3 linked regions of the Macaca fascicularis genome follow. The protein of the gene in region 2 interacts with the protein of the main gene of each other region in a pairwise test. Links are inferred from orthologs where the notes say so. Each region holds a gene or a part of one and is shown on either strand. Other genes may lie near its edges. The genes, in order: PPP1R3C, PPP1CB and PPP1R16A.

Evidence for each region.
Region 1: the proteins of PPP1CB (region 2) and PPP1R3C interact in binary tests that used the Homo sapiens proteins (3 or more experiments, as listed by UniProt). The two-hybrid records come from large-scale screens. The link is inferred for Macaca fascicularis from reciprocal best matches to the Homo sapiens genes PPP1CB and PPP1R3C.
Region 3: the proteins of PPP1CB (region 2) and PPP1R16A interact in binary tests that used the Homo sapiens proteins (3 or more experiments, as listed by UniProt). The two-hybrid records come from large-scale screens. The link is inferred for Macaca fascicularis from reciprocal best matches to the Homo sapiens genes PPP1CB and PPP1R16A.

Annotation. Positions count from the first base shown.
Region 1 is NC_088383.1:100,436,082-100,439,827, reverse strand, and holds the start of PPP1R3C (protein phosphatase 1 regulatory subunit 3C), read left to right. Parts: upstream 1-1,412; 5' UTR 1,413-1,513; coding exon 1,514-1,527; intron 1,528-3,638; coding exon 3,639-3,746.
Region 2 is NC_088387.1:93,467,983-93,471,728, forward strand, and holds the start of PPP1CB (serine/threonine-protein phosphatase PP1-beta catalytic subunit), read right to left. Parts: upstream 2,593-3,746; 5' UTR 2,552-2,592; exon of another isoform or gene 2,515-2,551; intron 2,506-2,514; exon of another isoform or gene 2,298-2,505; 5' UTR 2,211-2,297; coding exon 2,159-2,210; intron 1-2,158. UniProt on the Homo sapiens protein: Protein phosphatase that associates with over 200 regulatory proteins to form highly specific holoenzymes which dephosphorylate hundreds of biological targets.
Region 3 is NC_088382.1:154,187,452-154,191,098, reverse strand, and holds the start of PPP1R16A (protein phosphatase 1 regulatory subunit 16A), read right to left. Parts: upstream 2,918-3,647; 5' UTR 2,810-2,917; intron 1,073-2,809; 5' UTR 908-1,072; intron 1-907. UniProt on the Homo sapiens protein: Inhibits protein phosphatase 1 activity toward phosphorylase, myosin light chain and myosin substrates.

The sequences.
Region 1 (3,746 bases), on a different chromosome or scaffold from region 2:
CCTGGGCTCAGGTGATTCTCCTGCCTCAGCCTCCAGAGTAGCTGAGAGTACAGGCGTGCACCAACGCCCCCAGCTAATTTTTGTATTTTTAGTAGAGACAAGGTTTCACCACGTTGGCCAGGCTGGTCTTGAACTCCTGGCCTCAAGTGATCCACTGGGCAGGTTTCCCGACCACTCAGTGTCTCCGTTTTCTTTTCTCTAAAATGGGATTAATAACTGGACATATCACATAGGGCTCTTGTGAGGATTGAACTGATAGCACACAGTGTTTGGCAGAGTAAAGGCTCAACAAGCAGCAGTTATTCTCAATATTTTAGCTCAGGCACCAGGTGCCTTGAGGTGATAGAGTAAAAACTCTAGCTGAGAGATCAAGTAGAAACTTAGGAAGTAGCCCGGGTTGAACACAGGAGCTGGGCATCGTGCTGAGTCTGTTCATTGGCACCATCTTACTTCATCCTCAGAACGTTACTATCTCCGTTTTACATATGAGGAAACTGAGGTTAGAACTTGCCTAGATTCGTGTAGCTAGTAAGTGTCAATTCAAAGACCTTCCAGCTAGTTTTGGTTGAGCCAAAGGGGCTAGAAGACCTGCCATTAGTTAGATTTTCATTTCAAAAATAAAACCTCAGCATGAAGTGCCTTTCCCAGTGATACTCAGCGTGATTTTTTTTCTTCTTTCACACATACGGCTGTATGTGTGAAAAGGGTCATTTCTCTTCCGGCTTTAGTGTTCCCCGCAGGGGAGAAAATTGAAGAATAGACAGAAATACAAAGTATCTTTTAATTAAATGCCACCTCGCTGTTTTATGGGGCTCGTATGCTTTCCTAACATTTGTTAGATAAGTTGGTAATTCCCGGCAGCTGTCTACTGTGTGGTGCATCTGTGAACCCATAACTAACAGAAAAGCATGAAGCCAGTTTGGGATCGCGCAGGCTAAGATGAGGGAGAAATGCGGATACACCGGGCAATGAACAACATAAACATTTCAAATGCGATACACATTCGGATTGAGCCACATCTGTGTGGAGATTCAACTGCACTGACCCACAAAGCTATTCCCAAGTAACAGCCGCCCCAAGCCTGAGGCACTGGCGCCCCGCCTGGGCGAGGCTGGCTGCGCTCTCTCTTGGCCGGCGCCCGTTGCATGCGGTACGTGCCTGCCCGGCCCCTCGCCCAGGGTTCCCGTTACGCGGCTGCGTCCAGCTGGCCGCGGAGTCCCAGAACCTCCCCGGGATGCCCAGCTCGCGCTCTGCACGTCCGGCCCCGGGGCGATCATATTCCCGGGGCGAGGGCTCTCGCCCCATCTGGGTGCTGGTTGGTCGCGCCATGGGGCCCGAGGCCCGGCGATTGGTCCCAGGAATCGGGTCACGTGCTTCGGAGCAGATAAGCGGCCTCTAGGCGCCAGGCCCTCAATCTCTCCCAGCGACCGCCGCGGGGGAAGGCAGGGAGCTGTGGTTCGAATTTGTGCAGGCAGTGGGTGCTGGCTTTCACGGTCCGCCGCCTGTCTGCCTAATGAGCTGCACCAGGTAGGTTCGCTGCACCTCTGCGCGGTAGGAACACAGGGGAACGCACAGCTGTGGGGAAGTTGGGGGGGCGTTTCAGTTCTGTCATGAGGATAAGGGAACTGACTGCTTAGTTGAATCTGGCAACCGAGAGGGCTTGGAGGTGTAGAAATTTGACTCTATTTCTTAAGCAGAGCCTATTTTAGCAATCAGCATCTTAAAGCAGAAGTTATCTTAACGTGAATCAGCTTGAGTTCTGATTTTCTCATGGATGCGGCTGTTCTTTTGGTCCTGCACAAATGTCGCAAGGACTCAGGCAGCTGAAGTGGTGAGAACAGCACTCTGACATTGCTGGTTAGGTGGTTTAGCTTGGAGGAAAAAAATTACAGGACGACGTTTGCATTCATTCGTCCTTCTTATCACAGTTTGCCATAGCACAATCTCAAGAGTTTGAGCAAACAATTACTTTTAACTCTTGTCCAGGACTTAAAGTTCCAAGGAAATCACCCAAAGTAAAACTGTCTTTCTATAAATGCAAAAAGTAAAAATAAAATAAAATAAAAAAACTGCCATAAAACTACTTTAAATAGCTTCTCCAGACATAGCTTAGCAGAAGACTTCTCTAAAAATCCTGCCTATTAACTATTATTAGACCCACAAATATAGCTTTAGCTTTCATTTGTTTGTTCTAAGTTTGCAGGTCTCCCAGAAAAACCCCAGAGCTAATACAGTAAATTCTGCGAGTGTTATTACCCATTTTTGTGATAATGACCACTTGGATACATATTTAGAGCTGCTGTGAGGAGAGTTACTAAAGCCAGACTGAGAAATGTCGTGTACAGTATACACACACCTCTTACTTGTAAGGCTAAGATAGGGAAAAAAATCCTAATACCATAAGCTTGGAAATATATAATGAGGGCTAAAGGCCAGAGAAAAGTCTTCTTTATGGATGCTTCTTGGTTTAATATTGCTGAGCATAGTCATGTTTAAAACTTTAAATAGCTTTATTGTCTTTCTACTTATAAATGTCTATTAGAAAATGCCAAAAAAGGAACAAAAATGAAAATAGATAATCTATAGTCCTATCACCCAGAGATAATAATTATTACATTATTAGGAAAGGTGTATTTCTTACAGAGTTTTTCAATATTTATAAGCTTGCATACATATAATGTATATTTTAAAACACGCCAACTTTCAGGTAATCAGGTTTTCCACTTAAATGTGGACTTGTCATGGGCATCTCTTTAGATGAATTATCAGTTACACAGTTTGTAAGTACATATGAATTATTGACTTGTATTTCAGTGGTTATTTGTGAAAAATGAGGAAAAGCATGACAATCAAAGTACAAAGAGAATTCTTTGACTTCTTCTCTAGCCTTCTCACTCTCAAAACTGTTGCATGTTATTTTTGTTTTTTTTTGTTTTTCAAGTGAATTACCTTACCAGAGAAGTGTCAATCAATTTAGCAGCAAAATAAGCCAAAGTAGCCAGAGGGAGCAGAGGGTCTGGAACTGTGGCTTCTGAACCTCTCTGGTCATTAGAATCACCTGGGAAGCTTTAAGAGCATATCCATCCCTTGGCCCTAGCCCCAGAAGTTCTGCCTCAGTGGTTCTGAGTCCCAGGAATTGGAAAGAAAGAAAAAAGAAGAAAGAGAGAGAGAGAACGAGAGGAAGAGAAAAGAAAGGAAGGAAGGAAAGGAAGAAAGGAAGGAAAGGAAGCAGGGAAGGAGGGAAGAAAAGAAAGAAAGAAAATGAATTCCCCAGGCATAGTGACCAGACAGGTTTGAGGACCACTGGTCCAGAACAGAGCACACAGTTCTCAAGGCTGCCTGGGAGATAATCAAATCGAACCCTTTTATTTCTCAGATGGGGAGACTGAGACCCCCATCACCCTCTAAGTGTTTTAAGCAGTTAACACTTAGCCTTTAGCCAGCCAAGGGTAGAGGTAGACATAGAAAGAAGATCTGATCAGTTAATACTGTTCTCTTTTACTATATATGATAGCACCTGCCTGATATCTACTGCACTGGCTAAAATTCAGTCAGCACAAAAATAGTACATATGTATTTGGCACTGGGAAAGAGCACTTCCGATCCAGGTGATAATCCCTCTTCCCTTTGCATTCCAGAATGATCCAGGTTTTAGATCCACGTCCTTTGACAAGTTCGGTCATGCCCGTGGATGTGGCCATGAGGCTTTGCTTGGCTCATTCACCACCTGTGAAGAGTTTCCTGGG
Region 2 (3,746 bases):
AAATTGAGAGAAATGTGTCTGGACTACAATTCTTACCCCCGCCCCCCAAAAAGGAAAAAAGATTGTACAAAACCAAATACTTAATTTGAATTCACAAAAACAAATTGAATCACTTAGACTATTTTTCCCCCAATGTCTTTTCCAGTAACCTTGCACAACCCACTCGTGAAGTTTAAGTACCTGTAATCATAAAAAGGTGCATCTAATTTAAAAGGATACAAACATTTTAAAACATAAATCTGTTTTATGCCTATAAAATAGATGGAAAATGAAATAAAATATAAAGTTGAGATACAAACATATTTTTAAAATATTTAAATTTACAAGCAAAGTTTAAAATATATAAAATTGGGTCCGGCGCGATGGCTCACGCCGGTAATCCCAGCACTTTGGGAGGCTGAGGCGGGTGGATCACGAGGTCAAGAGTTCAAGACCAGCCTGGCCAAGATGGTGAAACCTCCGTCTCTACAAAAATACAAAAAAAAAATTAGCCGGGCATGATGGCGGAGTGCCTGTAATCCCAGCTACTCGGGAGGCTGAGGCGGAAGAATCGCTCAAACCCGGGAGGCGGAGGTTGCAGTGAGCCGAGACCGTGCCATTGCACTCCAGCCTGGGAGACACAGTGAGACTCCGTGGGGGGAGGGGGGGGGAGAGTAGGCCTCTACTTTCCCAAATGTAAACAAGACATATACATTTTTAAATTAACTGTATTTCTCTCATAGAACAGTTACAAAATACAATTTTTCTTCAAAGCAAATTTCTCAAATACCCAGCAAGACGTTCACATCTGAAACAAAGTCTTAGGTAGTGAACACTGACTGCAGGCACCAGGGGGCCTCCCAGGAATAACTTGATAGTAAAGGAAAAGGTAAATAAGAGTTCCTGGTAAAACTTTTGCTTCCTATTCAGTCTTAAGACTGCTGGATGGCTTTCACTTCTGGAGCAAATATACAGTATTTAGTTACAGAACGGCTACACACAGAACTTGGGTTTTAGATACCGACACATTCGTTGAAAAAAACGAGTTACCCCTCCCCCATTAAAATATTCTTTGATGATTTTCCAAATATAAGTACATGTTGCTTTACTGTAGCAAACAATTATCTTAAGGTAATTTGAAAGCAAACAGTACATATGCAATCCTTCGATGGCGGCTAACAAAGAGGCCTCTAAATTGTTTAAAAGGGATTAATGGCTTTTCTACACACTCACAAAACAATTAGTGATGACGAACATTTTAGGGTAGAAGGACTGTTTGGCATTTAACTTTGAATAATATCCTGCAATGAATCAATACATTTAACTCCTGGCTTTCCCCCCCCTTGCCTTCCCACCAACATAAAACTATTCGATAAGAACACCAGGGCCCGGAAAGTTCAAATGCTGCGTAGACTTGCAAATACCTTTCGAACACAAGACAGGCTTTAAAAATAGATCTTCACTAAGTTGTGCAGAAATTAAGCTCTGCTCAAATCAAACGCAAAAGCCAACATCTACATACATCACATTTCTTACGTGCATCTTCAACCTGATCAAATATTTTGTCTTACAATTTTTTTAGGCCGAATAACAAATGGTAGATAAATTCCCGCTAATTTTATCCTCTCTAAGAAGAATCCATTCTATGGCATCGTGTAAAAATGCAGAGCAGACGAAGCATTCCTGTTACGGACAGGTTTTTATATATATACATAAAATTCACTCGCGGAACGACAATCGGAGGCAGCCAAGGGCAATGCACAAAGAGAGAAGAAACACTGATTCCACGGACACACAAAGCCCGGTGGCAGGCATCCTCTCCCCCTCCTCGGAGGAGTCACCGGAGGCGAGCACGACGGCGCGCGGAGCCCGGCGGCCTTTCCGAAAGGCTGTCTCCCGCAGACCCGCTCCGCACAGCTGCCGGCCGGCGGGCCTGGCCACCAAGGGTCCGCGGGGACGGCCCCCTCTCCCCCGATTTCCCCTGACCGCGCTCCCGGAGGCCGCTCCCCGGCGCCCAGCAGCCTCCTCGCCCCCTCCTCGGCTGGTCTGCCGCGCCGCGCTCCCAGAGACAGCCTCGGGGCGGGAAAGAGGTCCCCTCGCGTTTCGGCGGCGGAGGTGGACGCAGGGGTCGGCGGCGGCGCCCGACCTCCCTCCGTCCCACGGCCCGGCGCGCACTCACCCTCCAGCAGCCGGGTGATGAGGCTGTCCACGTTCAGCTCCCCGTCCGCCATCTTGTCGGCACAGACTCTCCTTCCCAGCAGCGGGAACAAGGGCTTCTCGGCGGCGGAGGCTGCGGCGACGGCTCGGCGTTCTCTCACCTACAAGTCACGCGGCGTTTCGACCCCGGCTCCAACTCCCCCTTTTCCCGGGCCCTCCCCCCACCCCCTCCCCGCTGGGTAGCGAGAGCGCGCGCACACTCGGAGGCACCCACGGAAAATAAATAAATAAACAAGAGGGGCCCCCACAAACAGGGCCGCGTCAGACCAAGGCCGCCACCTCCTCGTCCTCGGCACCGCCCAGCTCCGCAAAGCTCACCAGCGCCGCCGACGGCCCCACCCGCAGCGCCACTCACTCCGCACGTCCCTTGCGCGCCACCGCGTCACGCAGCTCTCCGCGCAGGCGCCCGGCGCGCTCCCCGCCGAGGTTCCCCTCGACGCCTGGGCCTCCGCGCAGCCGCACTGGAGCGGCTTCTGCCGCCGCCGTCTTCGCGCAGGTGCGTCGCCCTCTCTCTCTACGTCCACGGCGCCGAGTTTCGCCGCCGCGGCGCAGGCGCCAAGGAGGTGCCCGGCTTTGCCGCTCGGAGGAAGCCCCGGTTACGCAGAGCGGGCTGGGGCAGGGCTCACCTTCCTCCTCCTCTGCTTCACTGGCGCTTTCCAGACGTGGTGGTTGCACCCTTTTGGCCTCGCTTTCCTTTTCATGGCTTCATACCTTAGATCTGCAAGCAGTTCCTCGTGTTTCTTCCTAGCCGGGAAACGCGAACTGCAGCGTTTGGAACCCGGGTTTGCGCTTGTGAAAAGCAAGAAGGGGTTAACTCTGCTGGAGTTCGACATTGCAAATAAAGGTCTTTACCCCCAGTGGTTCTACAAAATTAGTTCCGCAGGGATTCTGTTTGAAAGAAGAGTTAAAGTGGGCCCTGTAGGAGTCAGCAATAATACAATTTTACATGGGTGCATATGGCTGCCTGTGTTTAGCGCTTTCACACATCTTGTATCTCCATCCACGCCGTGGGTATCTTTTTTTCCACAGTGTGTTTCTGTTGCTGCTTCCAGTATATTGCTTAATCATCCTACCTGGTAATTATTTATGCATTTTTCTCCCACTCTCGACTCAGCTCCTAGGGGATAAAAACACACTAACTTATCTTTGTGCCCACAGCACCCACCAAATATTTCCATCACGTAATACTGCTTCTAGAAAGGCAGGAGGAGAGGCAGTCACGCTAAGGATCTAGGCAAGCCAGATCTTTTGTCCTGTTTTAGGAGGTGGCCAACCCTTACTTATTCCACAGGTGTTTTTCCAGAAACTCAGATCTGATATTGCCCCAAGTCCAAGGCAGTACTTCCCCCACTCACATATCACTAATAGTAGCTAACATTTGTTCATATCCCTGTTATGTGCTGTGCCACTGTTTTAAATGTTACACCCGCGTTACCTCATTTAATCCTTATAACAGCCCTGTGAGGTAGGTACTATTATTATCTCTGCTTTGTAGATGGGATTTACCGAGGCACAGATGGTTAAAAAACCTAGCCCAAATCACACAAATA
Region 3 (3,647 bases), on a different chromosome or scaffold from region 2:
GCGCCACTGCACTCCAGCCTGGGCGACAGAGCGAGACTCTGTCAAAAAAAAAAAAAACATCAAACCAAACCCATCACACAAAACCCATTAAAATAGGTGCATCTTACTGTAAGTCACACCTCAATAAAGTTTGATGTAAAAAATCAATGCATGGGCTGGGCGTGGTGGCTCACGCCTGTAATCCCCACACTTCGGGAGGCCGAGGCAGGAGGATAATGAGGTCAGGAGTTCAAGACCATTCTGGCCAACGTGGTGAAACTCCATCTCTACTAAAAGTACAAAAATTAGCTGGCCATGGTGGCATGCACCTGAGGTCCCAGCTACTTGGGAGGCTGAGGCAGGAGAATCGCTTGAATCCGGGAGACGGAGGTTGCAGTGAGCTGAGATCACACCACTGCACTGCAGCCTGGCGACAGAGCAAGACTGTCTCAAAAAAAAAAGATACAAAAATTAGCTGGCATGGTGGCATGTGCCTGCAATCCCAGCTACTGGGGAGGTTGAGGCAGGAGAATCATTTGAACCCGGGAGGCAGAGGTTGCAGTGAGCGGAGATCATGCCACCGTACTCCAGTCTGGACGACAGAGTAAGACTCCATCTCAAACAAACAAAAAACCAGAAAGCCACATGGTCAGCAAAGCCTAAAATGTTTACTACCTAGCCCTTCATGGTAAAAGCTGGCCAACTCCTGGTCTAGCACATTTATTTGGTGTTACCAGCTTCATCATCACCCCCACCTTCATCAGCTGCTCCTTCTGTCTGGAAAGTTCTTCCACCAGATCTTAGGACAGCATGCTCCTTCTTGGGACTCGGATCACATCTTAAGTGCGACCTCCTCAGAGATCTTCTGTGGTTACCTTGTCATTCTCTTATCTCATCACCCTGTTTTAATCCTTGACATGCCACTTACTGTTTGTTTCCCTGCTGCATCCTCAGGACTTGGCCGGTTCCTGACTCATAGGAAGCACTCAGTAAGTGCGGTGGGCTGACCAGGTGAACAGCTACTGAGCCTGCGGCACAGGGCTCCCAGCAAAGGATGTGACATGCGAGGCTCCGAGCTCCTGGCTGAGCAAGTCTGATGAAAAGGCCTCACTTAGGTGTGCGTGCACCAGTGCCGGGAGAGCCTCGGCATGAAAGAAGGGCCTGGAACTGCCACCTAGTTCTCATTTGGCCAGTGGGTAGATGTGGCACAAGTGCTAGGGTAGGACACGCTCGAGGCAGAGCAGGGTGGAGCTGGTGGTGCTGGTACGGTCTGTGGGGTCACCTGAGACTGAGGTTCCTAAGCCGCAGGCAGCGGAGAGCTGTATCAATCAGCTGTTCATTCAGACCAGAGGTTCAAGAATCCCTACACAGACCCCAAAGTGGAGTCATACAGGAGGAGCCCCCTTGCTAGGCGCCACCCCAGGCAATCCTCCAGGCAAAGCGGAGTCCAGGTGCATCCCAAGCAGGTGAGGGATGAGGCCAGGACAGGCCAATCAAGAGACAGGAGGGATGGCTCCAGCCAACAGGGAGGAAATGCAGCTCGAGCACCGGGAGGGGGAAGGACGCCCTAAAGCCTCCCCCATCCCAACCCGAGCCTGGAGGACTTGGGGCAGGGACAGGCAGCTGGCCCTGCAGAGCTCTGAGCGTCCACCACAGTGACAAGCATGGAGCCAGTATGTGTGTAAGTCCACGAGGCAGCCTCCAGCCCCTCAGGCAACCCAGCTGCACGCCGCCGGAGCTCCTCTCGGCGAGTCGTGGCTCTGGGTCCCTGAATCAGGCAGCGCAGCCAGAGGCCTCTTCAGGAGGCCCCAGGGTACTGCAGCCAAGACTCTTCTCCCAGAGAAATCCCAACCCTTCCAGGAAGCAACAGGGGCACCAAGACGCCCAGGAGGGCTCACTGCTGTATTAGACACGCTTTGAAGAAGGCAGCGGTACCCCGGCCTCCACCTCCACCCCCAAGTAGGAATCCAGGAAGAAAAGGAAGGCACAGAGGTTTGGGGAGGGCTAACTTTGCTCTGGCTCTCATAAGCCTAGAATGACTCCGTACACCCCTCCCGTCTCTGCACCCATGGAAATGAATCCCACCGTGCCCGGGGCCTCTGCTCTGGTACAGACAGGCGCCCACACCAGTCCCGGACACTCCCTCCCGGGCGGGGTGCTTGCTTAGTAATTGTTGCCCTGACCCCAATTCCTGAGGGGTGGTCCAGGCGCCCCGCGCTACAAGTGAGGTCATGTGAATCCCTGAAAGTTGAAGGAACTTGCCCCAGAGAGAGACTTCCCTTTCTCCTTCAGCCTAGCTCCAAAGCCCACACAAAGCTTGGGTAAGTCCCTTCTCTGCGGCCTTAATTTCCTCATCTGAAAATGAGGATAATTCCGGAGCTGTCTACCTGACCGACGGGCTGCGGAGAATCCACACACCTTCGCCTTGGAACAAAATGCGAAGCGCCCACCGGCAGCCTTCGGCTCCCTGCCTTTCCTGACCCTTGGCACCTGCTGCCCTGGGCCTCAGCCAGCAACGCCCAAGGCGGCCCGGCGGGACCTGTGCCCTGGGCGCCCGCGTGCCGGCAGCCGCGTCTCCCGAGGGCCCCTCCCCGGCCTCCTCCCTCGCCAGCCTTCTCCCTCGCCAGCCTCCTCTCCCCCCTCGGTCTCTTCCTCCTCCCGCCCCCCCCCGGCCTCCTCCCTCCCCTCAGCCTCATCTTTCTACGGCCCGGCCTCCTCTCCCGGTGTCGACCCAGTGCCCCTCCTTCCCGGGCCCGCCACGGCTGTCCCTGGCCGGGGCCCCTCTCCTTCGCTCCGCTCCTGCTGCAGCACCCGGGAGTCCGCGCCTCACCTCATGTCCCGCGCCGGCCGCCGCGTAAGTGGGTCCGCTGGCTTCCGCGGGTCGGTGGGCCCCGCGCTCCCCGAGGCGCTGCGGGGGCGGGCCCCGCGCCCGGCTCTCGCCATGGCAACGCTACACTTCCGGCCCGCGCTACCCACAGCCGGAAGCCGCGGTGCCCCGTGGGAGCCGGGGGCGGAGCCTGGGGCGGGACGGTCGGGGGCGGAGCCTGGGGAGGGACGGTCGGGGGCGGGGCCTGGGAGGGACGGTCGGGGGGCGGGTGCCAACTGGGACAGCTGCGGGCGGCCGGGCGAGTCCTCCGCGGCTGGGACCTCCTCGGGGCCCGGGTGGGACGCGAAGGGCTCAAAGTACTCCAGGGCTCCCGGGACGGTGGTCATTGATTTATGCTGGACAAAACCGAGTCATCGTAGACAATGGGACGGGCGCCAGCGGAATGAGTGGCAGCTTTGGGGGTGGTGTCGGGCCCGGGACGTCGGAGATGAGCGGTCAGAACTTGGGGAGCCTCCAGCGCCCCACCAAGGAGGTGCCAGTGGAAAGGGGGGTGCCTTAAAACTTATGGGAGGCCGGGCGCGGTGGCTCACGCCTGTAATCCCAGTCCTTTGGGAGGCCCAGGCGGGCGGATCACGAGGTCGGAAATTGAGACCATCCTGGCTAACACGGTGAAACCCCGTCTCTACCAAAACTACAAAAAAAAAATTAGCCGGGCGTGGTGGTGGGCGCCTGTAGTCCCAGCTACTCGGGAGGCTGAGGTAGGAGAATGGCGTGAACCCGGGAGGCGGAGCTTGCAGTGAGCCAAGATTGTGCCACAGCACTCCAGCCTGGGCGACAGAGC